Linked DNA regions of Anolis sagrei. The protein of the gene in region 3 interacts with the protein of the main gene of each other region in a pairwise test. Links are inferred from orthologs where the notes say so. Each region holds a gene or a part of one and is shown on either strand. Other genes may lie near its edges.

The links.
Region 1: the proteins of CIB3 (region 3) and TACC3 interact in binary tests that used the Homo sapiens proteins (3 or more experiments, as listed by UniProt). The two-hybrid records come from large-scale screens. The link is inferred for Anolis sagrei from reciprocal best matches to the Homo sapiens genes CIB3 and TACC3.
Region 2: the proteins of CIB3 (region 3) and ENOX2 interact in binary tests that used the Homo sapiens proteins (3 or more experiments, as listed by UniProt). The two-hybrid records come from large-scale screens. The link is inferred for Anolis sagrei from reciprocal best matches to the Homo sapiens genes CIB3 and ENOX2.

Annotation. Positions count from the first base shown.
Region 1 is NC_090023.1:142,939,040-142,942,786, forward strand, and holds the start of TACC3 (transforming acidic coiled-coil-containing protein 3), read right to left. Parts: upstream 2,963-3,747; 5' UTR 2,854-2,962; exon of another isoform or gene 2,850-2,853; intron 1-2,849. UniProt on the Homo sapiens protein: Plays a role in the microtubule-dependent coupling of the nucleus and the centrosome. Involved in the processes that regulate centrosome-mediated interkinetic nuclear migration (INM) of neural progenitors.
Region 2 is NC_090030.1:10,444,080-10,447,826, forward strand, and holds the start of ENOX2 (ecto-NOX disulfide-thiol exchanger 2), read right to left. Parts: upstream 2,527-3,747; 5' UTR 2,459-2,526; coding exon 2,416-2,458; intron 1-2,415. UniProt on the Homo sapiens protein: May be involved in cell growth. Probably acts as a terminal oxidase of plasma electron transport from cytosolic NAD(P)H via hydroquinones to acceptors at the cell surface.
Region 3 is NC_090026.1:134,132,381-134,136,127, forward strand, and holds the start of CIB3 (calcium and integrin-binding family member 3), read right to left. Parts: upstream 2,116-3,747; 5' UTR 2,058-2,115; coding exon 2,007-2,057; intron 1,905-2,006; coding exon 1,870-1,904; intron 1-1,869. UniProt on the Homo sapiens protein: Acts a an auxiliary subunit of the sensory mechanoelectrical transduction (MET) channel in hair cells. Plays a role in regulating hair cell MET channel localization and function.

The DNA.
Region 1 (3,747 bases), on a different chromosome or scaffold from region 3:
AGGTGTGAAATCCCACTTTATGAGAAACATGGGATAAAGCAATTGTGTATTCCTTCATACCAGTGGGTTGGCCTAGATGGCTTTCAATCTATGGTTCTGTCCAGTCTTAGATAACAAAGGCATTCCCATGCAGAAAGAAGCATATGGGATGGAGTCATTGAACAAATGGAGCTTGGTAACATTAAAGGAGTGTCAGGCTTGGGCAAGACCATATCCTTAAGACATCACCTGGCCTGGCAACTTTTTTTAACTTATATTTACTCTGTTTTATACCCTGCCCTTTCTCTCTCATTGAGGGACTCAGAGCGGCTAACACTCCACAGCAATTTGATACCATACGAATCTAAGACAATACAAAAACTGAAAATAAATATAAATCACAGTTCTAAACATTTTAACACATCATATAAAACTACAGTACATAATAAAACAATAATTAAAACCAGCTATAATTAAAAACTAGCTCCAACTTGTTGCCATAATGTCAAAATCCACTGTCATTTAACATGCTTGCTCATTGCCTTCCACAAAAGCTTCCTTCCAGAGGAATTTTTTTTTATTTGCTTTCTGAAAGAAAGCAGGGTGGGGGGATTCAGATATCCTTAGGGAGGGAGTTCCAGAGTCTAGGAACCACTGTCAAGAAGGCCCTCTCCTTGGTATCCACCAACCACACCTGAGATGATGGTAGGACCGAGAGCAGGGCCTCCCCAGCAGATCGTAGGGCTCGGGCAGGCTCATATTGGGAGATGTGGTTGGATAGTTTGGCCCTGAACCGTTCAGGGCTTTAAAGTTTAAAACCAGCACCTGGAATTGCACTTGGTAGAAAACTGGTAACCAGTGGAGATGCCACAACAGTGGGGTTGACTGCTCCTTGAAAGGCGCTCCAGTAAGCAGCCTGGTCACAGATCTTTGAACCAGCTGAAGCTTCCTAACAGTCCTTAAGGGCAGCCCTATAGCAATCCAGTCTAGATGTGACAAGGGCATGGACCACGGTGGCCAGATCACTTCTCAAGGTATGGACTTGTTCTGGGAATCAGCCCTCCCACATCAGGGGCTGAGAGGGGACATGATAGCCATTTTTAAATATCTGAAAGGGGGGGCACATTTGGGAGGGGGCAACCTTATTTTCTATTGATTTAGAGACTCGGGCACAGAACAATCAATTCAAATTGGAGGAAAAGAGATTTCACCTAAACATTAGGAAGACCTTTATAATACTATAATGTAATACAATACTAATACGATATAATTATATATTTTATATTACACTAGCTGTACCCGCCACACGTTGCTGTGGCCAATCTTCCCTCTTTCTCTTCTTCTTTCCCTCCCTCCTTCCTTCCCTCCCTCTTTCCTTCCTTCCCCCTTTTTCTTTCTTTTCTGCTGTCTCTTTTCTTCCTTCTCTCTTTTCTTCCCTCCCTCTTTCTCTACATCTTCCCCCCTTCGCTCCCTCTTTCCTTCCTTCTTTCCATCTCTCCTTCCTTCCTTCCCTAACTTTCCTTCCTTCCCCATTTTTCTTTCACTTCCTCTTTCTCTCCTTTCTTCCTTCTCTACCTCTTTCCTTCCTTCTCCCTTTCCTTCTTTCTTTCTCCTCCCCTTCCCTCCCTCTTTCTTCCTTTTTTCTGTATTGTCATTTAGCTTTTGGGGGCTTTTTAAGTCCCTTCTGCTGTGTTTTTTTAGTGTTTTTGTGAGTGAAGGACATACATTGGGTTGTTAGGTGTCTTGTGTCCAAATTTGGTGTCCATTCCTCCAGCGGTTTTTGTGTTATGTTAATCCCACAAACGAACGTAGATGTAATATCACTAATAATATTACAATATAATGGTATAATTTTAATTGGTATGTTAATTTATTGTTTAATGAATTATATAATGAGTTTTTAATGGTTATTAATGTTTTAAATGTAATTTTTGATTGTTTATATGTTGATAGCACCATATGATGCTGTGTGAGGTCGCCCTCAGTCCCCCTTCGGGGGGGGGGGGGGGAGAAGGGCAGGGTAGAAATGCATGAAATAAATAATAATAATTAAATGACAAATAGTACAATATAGTAATATATAATATTGATATTGTGCAATGCTAATAATACAAAATAATATAATCTTGTAAGAAGCTCTGAGTCCCCTTTGGGGTGATTTTTTGTTTGTCGTGTCAGGACTGATTTGAGAAACTGCAAGTCGCTTCTGGTGTGAGAGAATTGGCCATCTGCAAGAACGTTTCCCAGGGGAAGCCCAGATGTTTTGATGTTGTACCATCCTTGTGTGAGGCTTCTTTCATGTTCCTGCATGAGGAGCTGGAGCTGATAGAGGGAGCTCATCCACGCTCTCCCCAGATTCGAACCTGTGACCTGTTGGGTCTTCAGGTTTGGGATGATAAGGGCAGCATATACATGTCATAAATAAATAAATAAATCTCCTGCTCTAGAAATTTTTAAGCAGAGGCTGGATGGCCATCTGTTGGGAATGCTTTGGTTGTGTTTTTTCTCCATTTTTTTTGGGGGGGGGGGTGTGGAATGTATGGCCCTTGTGGTCTCTTCCAATCTAAGAGTCTATTGTCCTATTTTTGTTTTGTCACCTAGGTTTAATGGGCTGGAATTCTCCAAACGCAACAGACCTGAAGAGTTATCAGACAGTACTAGCAACTTAATATCATAAGAAACAGTGAAAATCTTGATGCAAAGGAGCAAACGAGGCACTAACAGAGCGTGGACTAAGGGTTTTCAGGAGGGAGGGGGCGGGGTGGGCGCTCAGGAGCAGGAATGCCTTGGGTAAGCGGGTTCCGGGCTCCCTCCGAGTCCCGGGCCTCTCGCCTCCGCTCCCTTCCCTCCCCCCTTCCCTCCCTATTTACCTACTTGGCTTCCGAGGACGCCCCACCGACGTTTCTGCTACTGCCACCAACTCTGAGGTATCACCTCTAACTCAACGCCTCGCCCGGTTCAAATCTTAACGGTTTCTGTCTCTACCAATGAAAAGACAGCGTGATGGGTTACGTCAGAAATCACGTGACGGCTCAGCGGCTCGCCTCGGAGCCTCAAGCAGAGGCGACCGAGAGTGACTGGCTACGCATGCGTATACTTGGACTACTCCTTGGAGAGGCGTTCCTTGGCAAATTTTCGAGTTTTTCGCTGGATCCAAAGAGATTGAACCCTGAGAATGGTTTTATTATTATTAAGGCTCAAATGGATCCGGAATTGAGTTACACAGCAGGGCCTGAATATCCTGAACCATTGATTCCCATATTCTGCTGCATGAGTTTTGTGAACTTCTACTCCCAGAAGCCTTGGCCAATGATCAAGGATGATGGCACCTGAATTCCAAATAACATTTCTCCCCACCTCCAAACTTTTTAAAACATTGGGTTGTTGTAGGTTTTTTCAGGCTGTATGGCCTACGGATGTGAGAGCTGGACCTTAGGGAAGGCTGAGCGAAGGAAGATAGATGCTTTTGAGCTGTGGTGTTGGAGGAAAGTTCTGAGAGTGCCTTGAACTGCGAGAAGATCCAACCAGTCCATCCTCCAGGAAATAAAGCCCGACTGCTCATTGGAGGGAAGGATATTAGAAGCAAAGATGAAGTGCTTTGGCCACATCATGAGGAGACAGCAAAGCCTAGAGAAGACAATGATGCTGGGGAAAGTGGAAGGCAAAAGGAAGAGGGGCTGACCAAGGGCAAGATGGATGGATGACATCCTTGAAGTGACTGGACTGACCTTGAAGGAGCTGGGGGTGGTGACGGCCGACAGGGAGCTC
Region 2 (3,747 bases), on a different chromosome or scaffold from region 3:
ATGTAATAATAATAATAGGGTAAAATACTGTAAATGTAATAATAATAAAGAAAGTAAAATAATACAAGAAATAAAAATAATATTAATAACTGAATAAAATAATAAATAACCTTGATTCGAGTATAAGCCGAGGGGAGCTTTTTCAGCCTAAAAAAGGGGCTGAGAAACTAGGCTTATACTCGAATATACACTGTATTTTTGGAGTGAAATAGGCCTCGCTAAGGCTGATCTGGCCGGGGTGGTCCATGCCTTAGTCACCTCTAGACTGGATTACTGCAATGCGCTCTACGTGGGGCTGCCCTTGAAAACGGCTCGGAAATTCCAATTGATCCAACGGGCAGCAGCCAGGATGTTAATGGGGGCCCATTACAGAGAGAGGTCAACCCTTCTGTTTAAGGAGCTCCACTGGCTGCCGTTTATTTTCCGAGCCCAATTTAAGGTGCAGGTGCTTACCTACAAAGCCCTGAACGGTTTGGGACCACCCTACCTGCGTGACCGCATCACAGTCTACGAACCCACATGTTCACTCCGGTCATCAGGAGAGGCCCTGCTCGTGATCCCGCTCGCGTCGCAGGCGCGTTTGGTGGGGACGCGGGACAGGGCCTTCTCTGTGGTGGCCCCCCGCCTCTGGAATGCCCTCCCGAAAGATCTCAGACAGGCCCCTACTTTGGCGGTTTTCAGAAAGAACCTGAAAATACTTAATAAAAATCATTTTAAAAAAAAGAAAGAACCTGAAAACCTGGCTGTTCCAACGTGCCTTCTCAGATTAGGAACCCCACCACCAAAGCCCAGAAGCACTTTAGTAGAGTCAAGATCACCCTCACCGCACACTGCACTTATATTCTAATCCCATATCCCTCCGACACTTCAGCACTTTTTAATCCTGTACCCTACTCCGGCCGGCTCAGTTTTTAATAATGTCCTGTTGTATTGCTATTGCTATTGTCTTCTGCTTTAACTGCTTTATTTGCTATGTATTGTATTGTTGTATTGTGTTGGGCCTGTTGTAAGCTGCATCGAATCCCTTGGGAGATGCTAGCGGGGTACAAATAAAGTTATAATAATAATAATAATAATAATCAAGCAATGCTGTTTTCATAGAATCATAGAATCAAAGAGTTGGAAGAGACCTCATGGGCCATCCAGTCCAACCCCCTGCCAAGAAGGAATATTGCATTCAAATCACCCCTGACAGATGGCCATCCAGCCTCTGTTTAAAAGCTTCCAAAGAAGGAGCCTCCACCACACTCCGGGGCAGAGAGTTCCACTGCTGAACGGCTCTCACAGTCAGGAAGTTCTTCCTAATGTTCAGATAGAATCTCCTTTCTTGTAGTTTGAAGCCATTGTTCCACATCCTAGTCTCCAAGGAAGCAGAAAACAAGCTTGCTCCCTCCTCCCTGTGGCTTCCTCTCACATATTTATACATGGCTATCAGATCTCCTCTCAGCCTTCTCTTCTTCATGCTAAACATGCCCAGTTCCCTAAGCCGCTCCTCATAGGGCTTGTTCTCCAGACCCTTGATCATTTTAGTCGCCCCCTCTGGACACATTCCAGCTTAGAGTCAATATCTCTCTTGAATTGTGGTGCCCAAAATTGGACACAATATTCCAGGTGTGGTCTAACTAAAGCAGAATAGAGCATGGGGAGCATGACTTCCCTAGATCTAGACACTATGCTCCTATTGATGCAGGCCAAAATCCCATTGGCTTTTTTTGCCGCCACATCACATTGTTGGCTCATGTTTAACTTGTTGTCCACGAGGACTCCAAGATCTTTTTCACACGTACTGCTCTCGAGCCAGGCGTCACCCATTCTGTATCTTTGCATTTCATTTTTTCTGCCAAAGTGGAGTATCTTGCATTTGTCACTGTTGAACTTCATTTTGTTAGTTTTGGCCCATCTCTCTAATCTGTCAAGATCGTTTTGAATTCTGCTCCTGTCCTCTGGACTATTTTCATCCCTTCTTTCTTTCCCCCCTTCCTTCCTTCTTTCCTTCCTCCCTTCTCCAGCTCTGAGGGGCCTATCTCACCACGTCTCTTTCCTTCTTTTCTCCCTTTTACAAGTTACTTCCCTTCCTTTCTTTCTCCCTGACATCAGAGGGCCACTTAACCTGGCAACAGCCAACCCAGTGACGTCGGAGGGCCACTTCACCTGTGGTCCAAGCAGGCATACTTTTGATAGATTGATAGATAGATAGATAGATAGATAGAGATAACTTCTGGTTAAGGTGCACTGGAGGAAGGAGTCATTCAGGCTCCAGCCCCAGCGGCTCTAACGCTCTGGCATCACAACTTTAGGGCTGGATGAGAGAGGCTGGCTAGGCCGCTTCCGGTCTCCATGGCAACCAAAGCGAGGGGGAGCGCAAAGGCCTGAGGGGCGGGGAGAGGCTGGCTCCGTTGCCTAGCGACGCCCCACCTGCTGGGCCCGCGGCCCTCCGGCGACGGAACTCCGGATACATCCGCTCCCCCGGCCTCGGCTTTGCCCCGCCACCGCCGCGGCCTTAGGAGGCCTCCGCCGCCTCGCAGGCCCCGCCCCTCCCTTCCCAAGCCCCGCCCCCCGCGCCTCATTGGATGGTTTGTGTTACGGGCGTGGACTTAGGAGGAAGTGATTGCAACAGCCCTTTGATTGGGTTGCTGGGAGTTTTGTGGGCTGCCTGGCCATGCTCCAAAAGCATTCTCTCCTGACATTTCGGCCACATTTATGGCAGGCATCCTCAGAGGTTGTGAGGTCTGCTGGAAACAAGGAAAACTGGGTTTATATATCTGTGGAATGATGTCCAGGGTGGGTGAAAGAACTCTTAGCCTACTTGATTCACATTGAACGGCCTTGCAGCTTCAAAACCTGGCTGGTTGCTGCCTGGGAGAATCCTTTGTTGTGAGAGGTGCTAGCTGGCCCTGATTGACTCTTCTATGGAATTCCCCTGGTTTTTTTTAGTGTTTATATATCTGTGGAATAATGTCCAGGGTGGGAGAAAGAACTCTTGTCTGCTTGAGGCAAGTGTGAATGTTGCAACTGGCCACCTTGATTAGCATTGAATGGCCTTGCAGATTCAAAGCCTGGCTGTTTCCTGCCTGGGGGAATCCTTTGTTGGAAGGTGATTAGTTGGCCCTGATTGCTTCTTGTCTGGAATTTCCCTGTTTTTTTAGTATTGATCTGTGGAATAATGTCTAATGTGGGAGAAAGAACTCTTGTCTGCTTGAGACAAGCGTGAATGTTGCAATTGACCACCTTGATTAGCAATGAATGGCCTTGCAGCTTCAAAGCCTGGCTGTTTCCTGCCTGGGGGAATCCTTTGTTGTGAGAAGTGCTAGCTGGCCCTGATTTACTCTTTTATGGAATTCCCCTGTTTTTTTTAGTGTTTATATATCTGTGGAATAATGTCCAGGTTGGCAGAAATAACTCTTGTCTGCTTGAGACAAGCGTGAATGTTGCAATTGACCACCTTGATTAGCATTAAATGGCCTTGCAGCTTCAAAGCCTGGCTGATTGCTGCCTGGGGAGCAAGTGGGAGTGTTGCAACTGGCCAGCAAGGAACATGAATGGCATTACAGACTAATTCTATTTATAGTCAGAATCTTATTTTCCTGGTTCTTCTTTCAGGAAATCAGCTCTTTTCTTAATAGCTTTCAGAATAAAACTAGTGTTCTATTTTGAAATGGTCATATGACTGATCGAATAAATAAATATTATTATTACTGACTAATTCACCCAGAGAAGTCAGCCATAGCAGAGCACTTGGTGAACCAA
Region 3 (3,747 bases):
TTTTTAGCCCCCCCCGAAACGAAATCCTGGCTACGGGCCTGCCCCTGACAGATGGCCATCCAGCCTCTGTTTAAAAGCTTCCAAAGAAGGAAGGAGCCTCCACCACACTCCCTCTGGGGCAGAGAGTTCCACTGCTGAACGGCTTTCACAGTCTGGAAGTTCTTCCTCATGTTCAGATGGAATCTCCTCTCTTGTAGTTTGAGGCCATTGTTTCGTGTCCTAGTCTCCAAGGAAGCAGAAAACAAGCTTGCTCCCTCCTCCTCCCTGTGGCTCTCTCTCACATATATATATGGCTCTCATCATATCTCCTCTCTGCCTTCTCTTCTTCAGGCTAAACATGCCCAGCTCCTTAAGCCACTCCTCATAGGGCTTGTTCTCCAGACCCTTGATCATTTTAGTCGCCCTCTTTCTCTGGACACATTCCAGCTTAGAGTCAATATCTCTCTTGAATTGTGGTGCCCAGAATTGGACACAGTATTCCAGGTAAAGTGGTCTAACCAAAGCGGAAGAGAGCATGGGGAGCATGACTTCCCTGGATCTAGACACTAGGCTCCTCTTGATGCAGGCCGAAATCCCATTGGCTTTTTTTGCCACCACATCACATTCCTGGCTCATGTTCCCCTTTCTCTCCACGAGGACTCCAAGATCTTTTCCACACGTCCTGCTCTCGAGCCAGGGCTCATTGTCCCCCATTCTGTATCTTTGCATTTCATTTTTCCTGCCAAAGTGGAGTCTCTTGCATTTGTCCCTCTTGAACTTCATTTTGTTAGTTTTGGCCCTTCATCTCTCGAATCTGTCAAGATTGCTTTGAGTCCTGCTCCTGTCCTTTGGACTATTGGCTATCCCTCCCAATTTGGTCCCGTCTGCAAACTTGATGATCCTGCCTTCTCGCCCTTCATCTAAGAGTCATGAATCAAGATGTTGAACAGGACCGGGCCCAGGGGGGAACCCTGCTTGTGGCACTCTGCTCATCACTTCTTTCCAAACCCTGAACCTATGCCTGGCAGGGGCAACTCCCACCCTTCTCCCCAGCCTCAGGCCCTTTCCTTCCCTCAGACGCATCAGCATAAACTGAGGGGGGAAAGGAAGGGGGCTGAGGCTGGGAGGAATGATGGGTGTTGGAATCCAAAACACGTGGAAAGAGGGAGGGAGGGCCCAAGTTGGCCCAAGCCTGATCTATGCCTAGAGATACAGACAGGGAAAGTGGGGCTCCCTGTGTGGGGCAGGGTAGAGGGTTTTTTTTGGGGGGGGGGGTCTCCTCCTCTGCTTTGGTTCCCTGGCCAAGCCCCCCCACCTCTCTGCTTGTGAACCCACTCTGCCCCCCCTTCCCCCGTGGCTGTCATCAGGGCAGTGGGCGAGGACAAAGCGTCCGAAGTTTGGCCAGGGCTGCTGCCCATCAATAATGCAAAGCTTGGTTATTCATGATACAATTATGCTCTTGGCTTGGCTTCCAGACATCAAAACATGGCCAGGATTGGGTTTCAGGGGCGGAGGGAGAGAGAGAGGGGGGGCCCGCCGGGAAGACTGGCCCCGGCCCCAGCACCGCCTTGGGCCCCTTGAAGACCCTTCCCAAGCCCTCCAGGGGCTCCCTGCCCCCCCCCCCGCCCCGCAGCCCCCCCCTCCCCGAACTCCCAAGGGAATGGGGGGGGGGGGGGAAGCCTGGTTCAAGAGCCCCGGCCTGGGTTCGCGACCTCGGGTTGAACCTCCGTGGATCCTGCGCTTCTCCTCGCTCGCGGGCGGAGGGGCCACCCCAAGCAGGCTCTCCCTCCCTCCCTCCCTGCCCGACCCCTACCCTCATCTCTTACCCCCCCTCCCCAAACAGGCTTTGGCATTTCGGGAGGGAGGGGGGAAGGAAGGCTCCGCTCTCACCTCAGGATCTCTTTCCTGGTGAAGAAGGTCGCATCCTGCAGGCAAAGAAGGGAAGGGAAGGGCAAGTCAGGGCAAGGCAGGCTGGGCGCCCCCTCCCCTCCCCCTCCCCACGCCCTCCCCCCCCCCACTCCCCCCACCTGGTAGGCGTCGAGCTGCTCCGGCGTGAAGACGGTCTGCTTGTTGCCCATCCTCTCATGGCTCCCGTCGTCTCCCGGGACGGACCTGGGAGGGAGAGAGGGAGGGAGGGGGGCTCCGCGGGGCGGGAGGGGATCCGGTGTCGCTTCATGGGGCCCGGGGGGGGGGTGAGGGGAGAGGAAGGGGAGGAGGGCCGAGAGACAGACAGAGAGAGAGAGAGAGAGAGCGCTCTTCCTCCCGAATCCCTCCCCCCTCCCCCTCCCCCTCCTTCTGGCAGCAGGTGTGCAGGGCGAGCAGGAGATGCCACACGGAAGGAAGGAAGGAAGGAGGCAGGAGAGCAGTTCCCATGGCAAAGGCCTCCCTCCACAAGAAGAACCACCCAACGGAGAGGAAGGAAACCGAGGTCCGACCGCCAGCGAGTCTGAGACAAACCTCAGAGGGAGAAAGCTTCCCTTCTGCCGCCCTGGAGAGAGACGAGGACGCGGAGGAGGAATGGCTCCTCTTCTGTCGCCACTGGGTCCCAACAAAATGCCTTTCTTCTATAGGACGCACACTTTAAACCCAGTGGGAAGCCGGGGTGCCCCAAGAGAGATTGTTAGAGACTTCCAGAAGGAATGGGCTTTAGAGTTCTTTAAAGGTATAACAAAGTCTTTCTTAAGGAACAAATCTTCAAACAACACTTCAAGGCTTTCTTGTTCTAGTCTTTAAGAGACTGGCACTGACTTGGATTAACTGTACTATCTCAACATGAGGAAGAACCCTTTATAATCTCTCCCAGGCTGTCTATCATCTGGGTCTTGCTGGTCTGGGTCTTACTACCGATCCCAACTGCGTCTGGACATCCAGTAAACCTACCAGCCAAGGCTTGAGGATCTTGGAATTCCGTGATTCTGTAGGAATGTCCTGTGGGAACTTCAGGGCTGTTTTCCCCTCTGGTGCTGTGAGGCTGTGAGGCTGTGAGCTCTCAGCCAGAGCCTTTGGGACCTTTTCCTTCTGTTTCCCTGGAACTGGATGGTCACTGGATGACCCCTGGGTGGTCACTGGATGGACCCCGGATCACCTCTGGATGATCCCCGGATGGCTTTGAGGAATGAAGCCTTTCCTTCGGGACAAGCTGATCTGCGTCCTATAGACTGGCTTCCTTGTGCGTGACTGACCAAAATGGTTCCTCTCCTTTCCCAAAGCCCAGACCAAAGGGTGGAAGCAAAGCTAAATGAAGATGGGCAGGGGGCTTGCCCTATGTCTGCAGACTATAACAGGAAGCCACCCTGCTGCAAAATCCCAAGCCTGGGATTGCAAACAAACCTTTAGTTCAAAGCAAATAAAATTGGAGCCCCTGTTCCGCTGTACCAAAACAGCTCCCAACTACAGGAAAGAAAGGAGATTCCACCTGAACCTGAGGGAGAACTTCCTGACTATGAGAGCTGTTCAGCAGTGGAACTCTCTGCCCCGGAGTGTGGTGCAGGCTCCTTCTTTTGAGGCTTTGAAGCAGAGGCTGGATGGCCATCTGTTGGGAGTGCTTTGAACGCGATTGTCTTGCTTCTTGGTAGAACTCTCTGCCCCGGAGGGAGTGTGGTGGAGGCTCCTTCTTTGGAGGCTTTGAAACAGAGGCTGGATGGCCATCTGTCAGGGGTGTTCTGACAGCAATTTCCCTGCTTCTTGGCAGAATGGGGTTGGACAGGATGGTGGCCCACGAGGTCTCTTCCAACTCTCCTAGGATTCTAAGAGCAAGGCAAAGAGCAG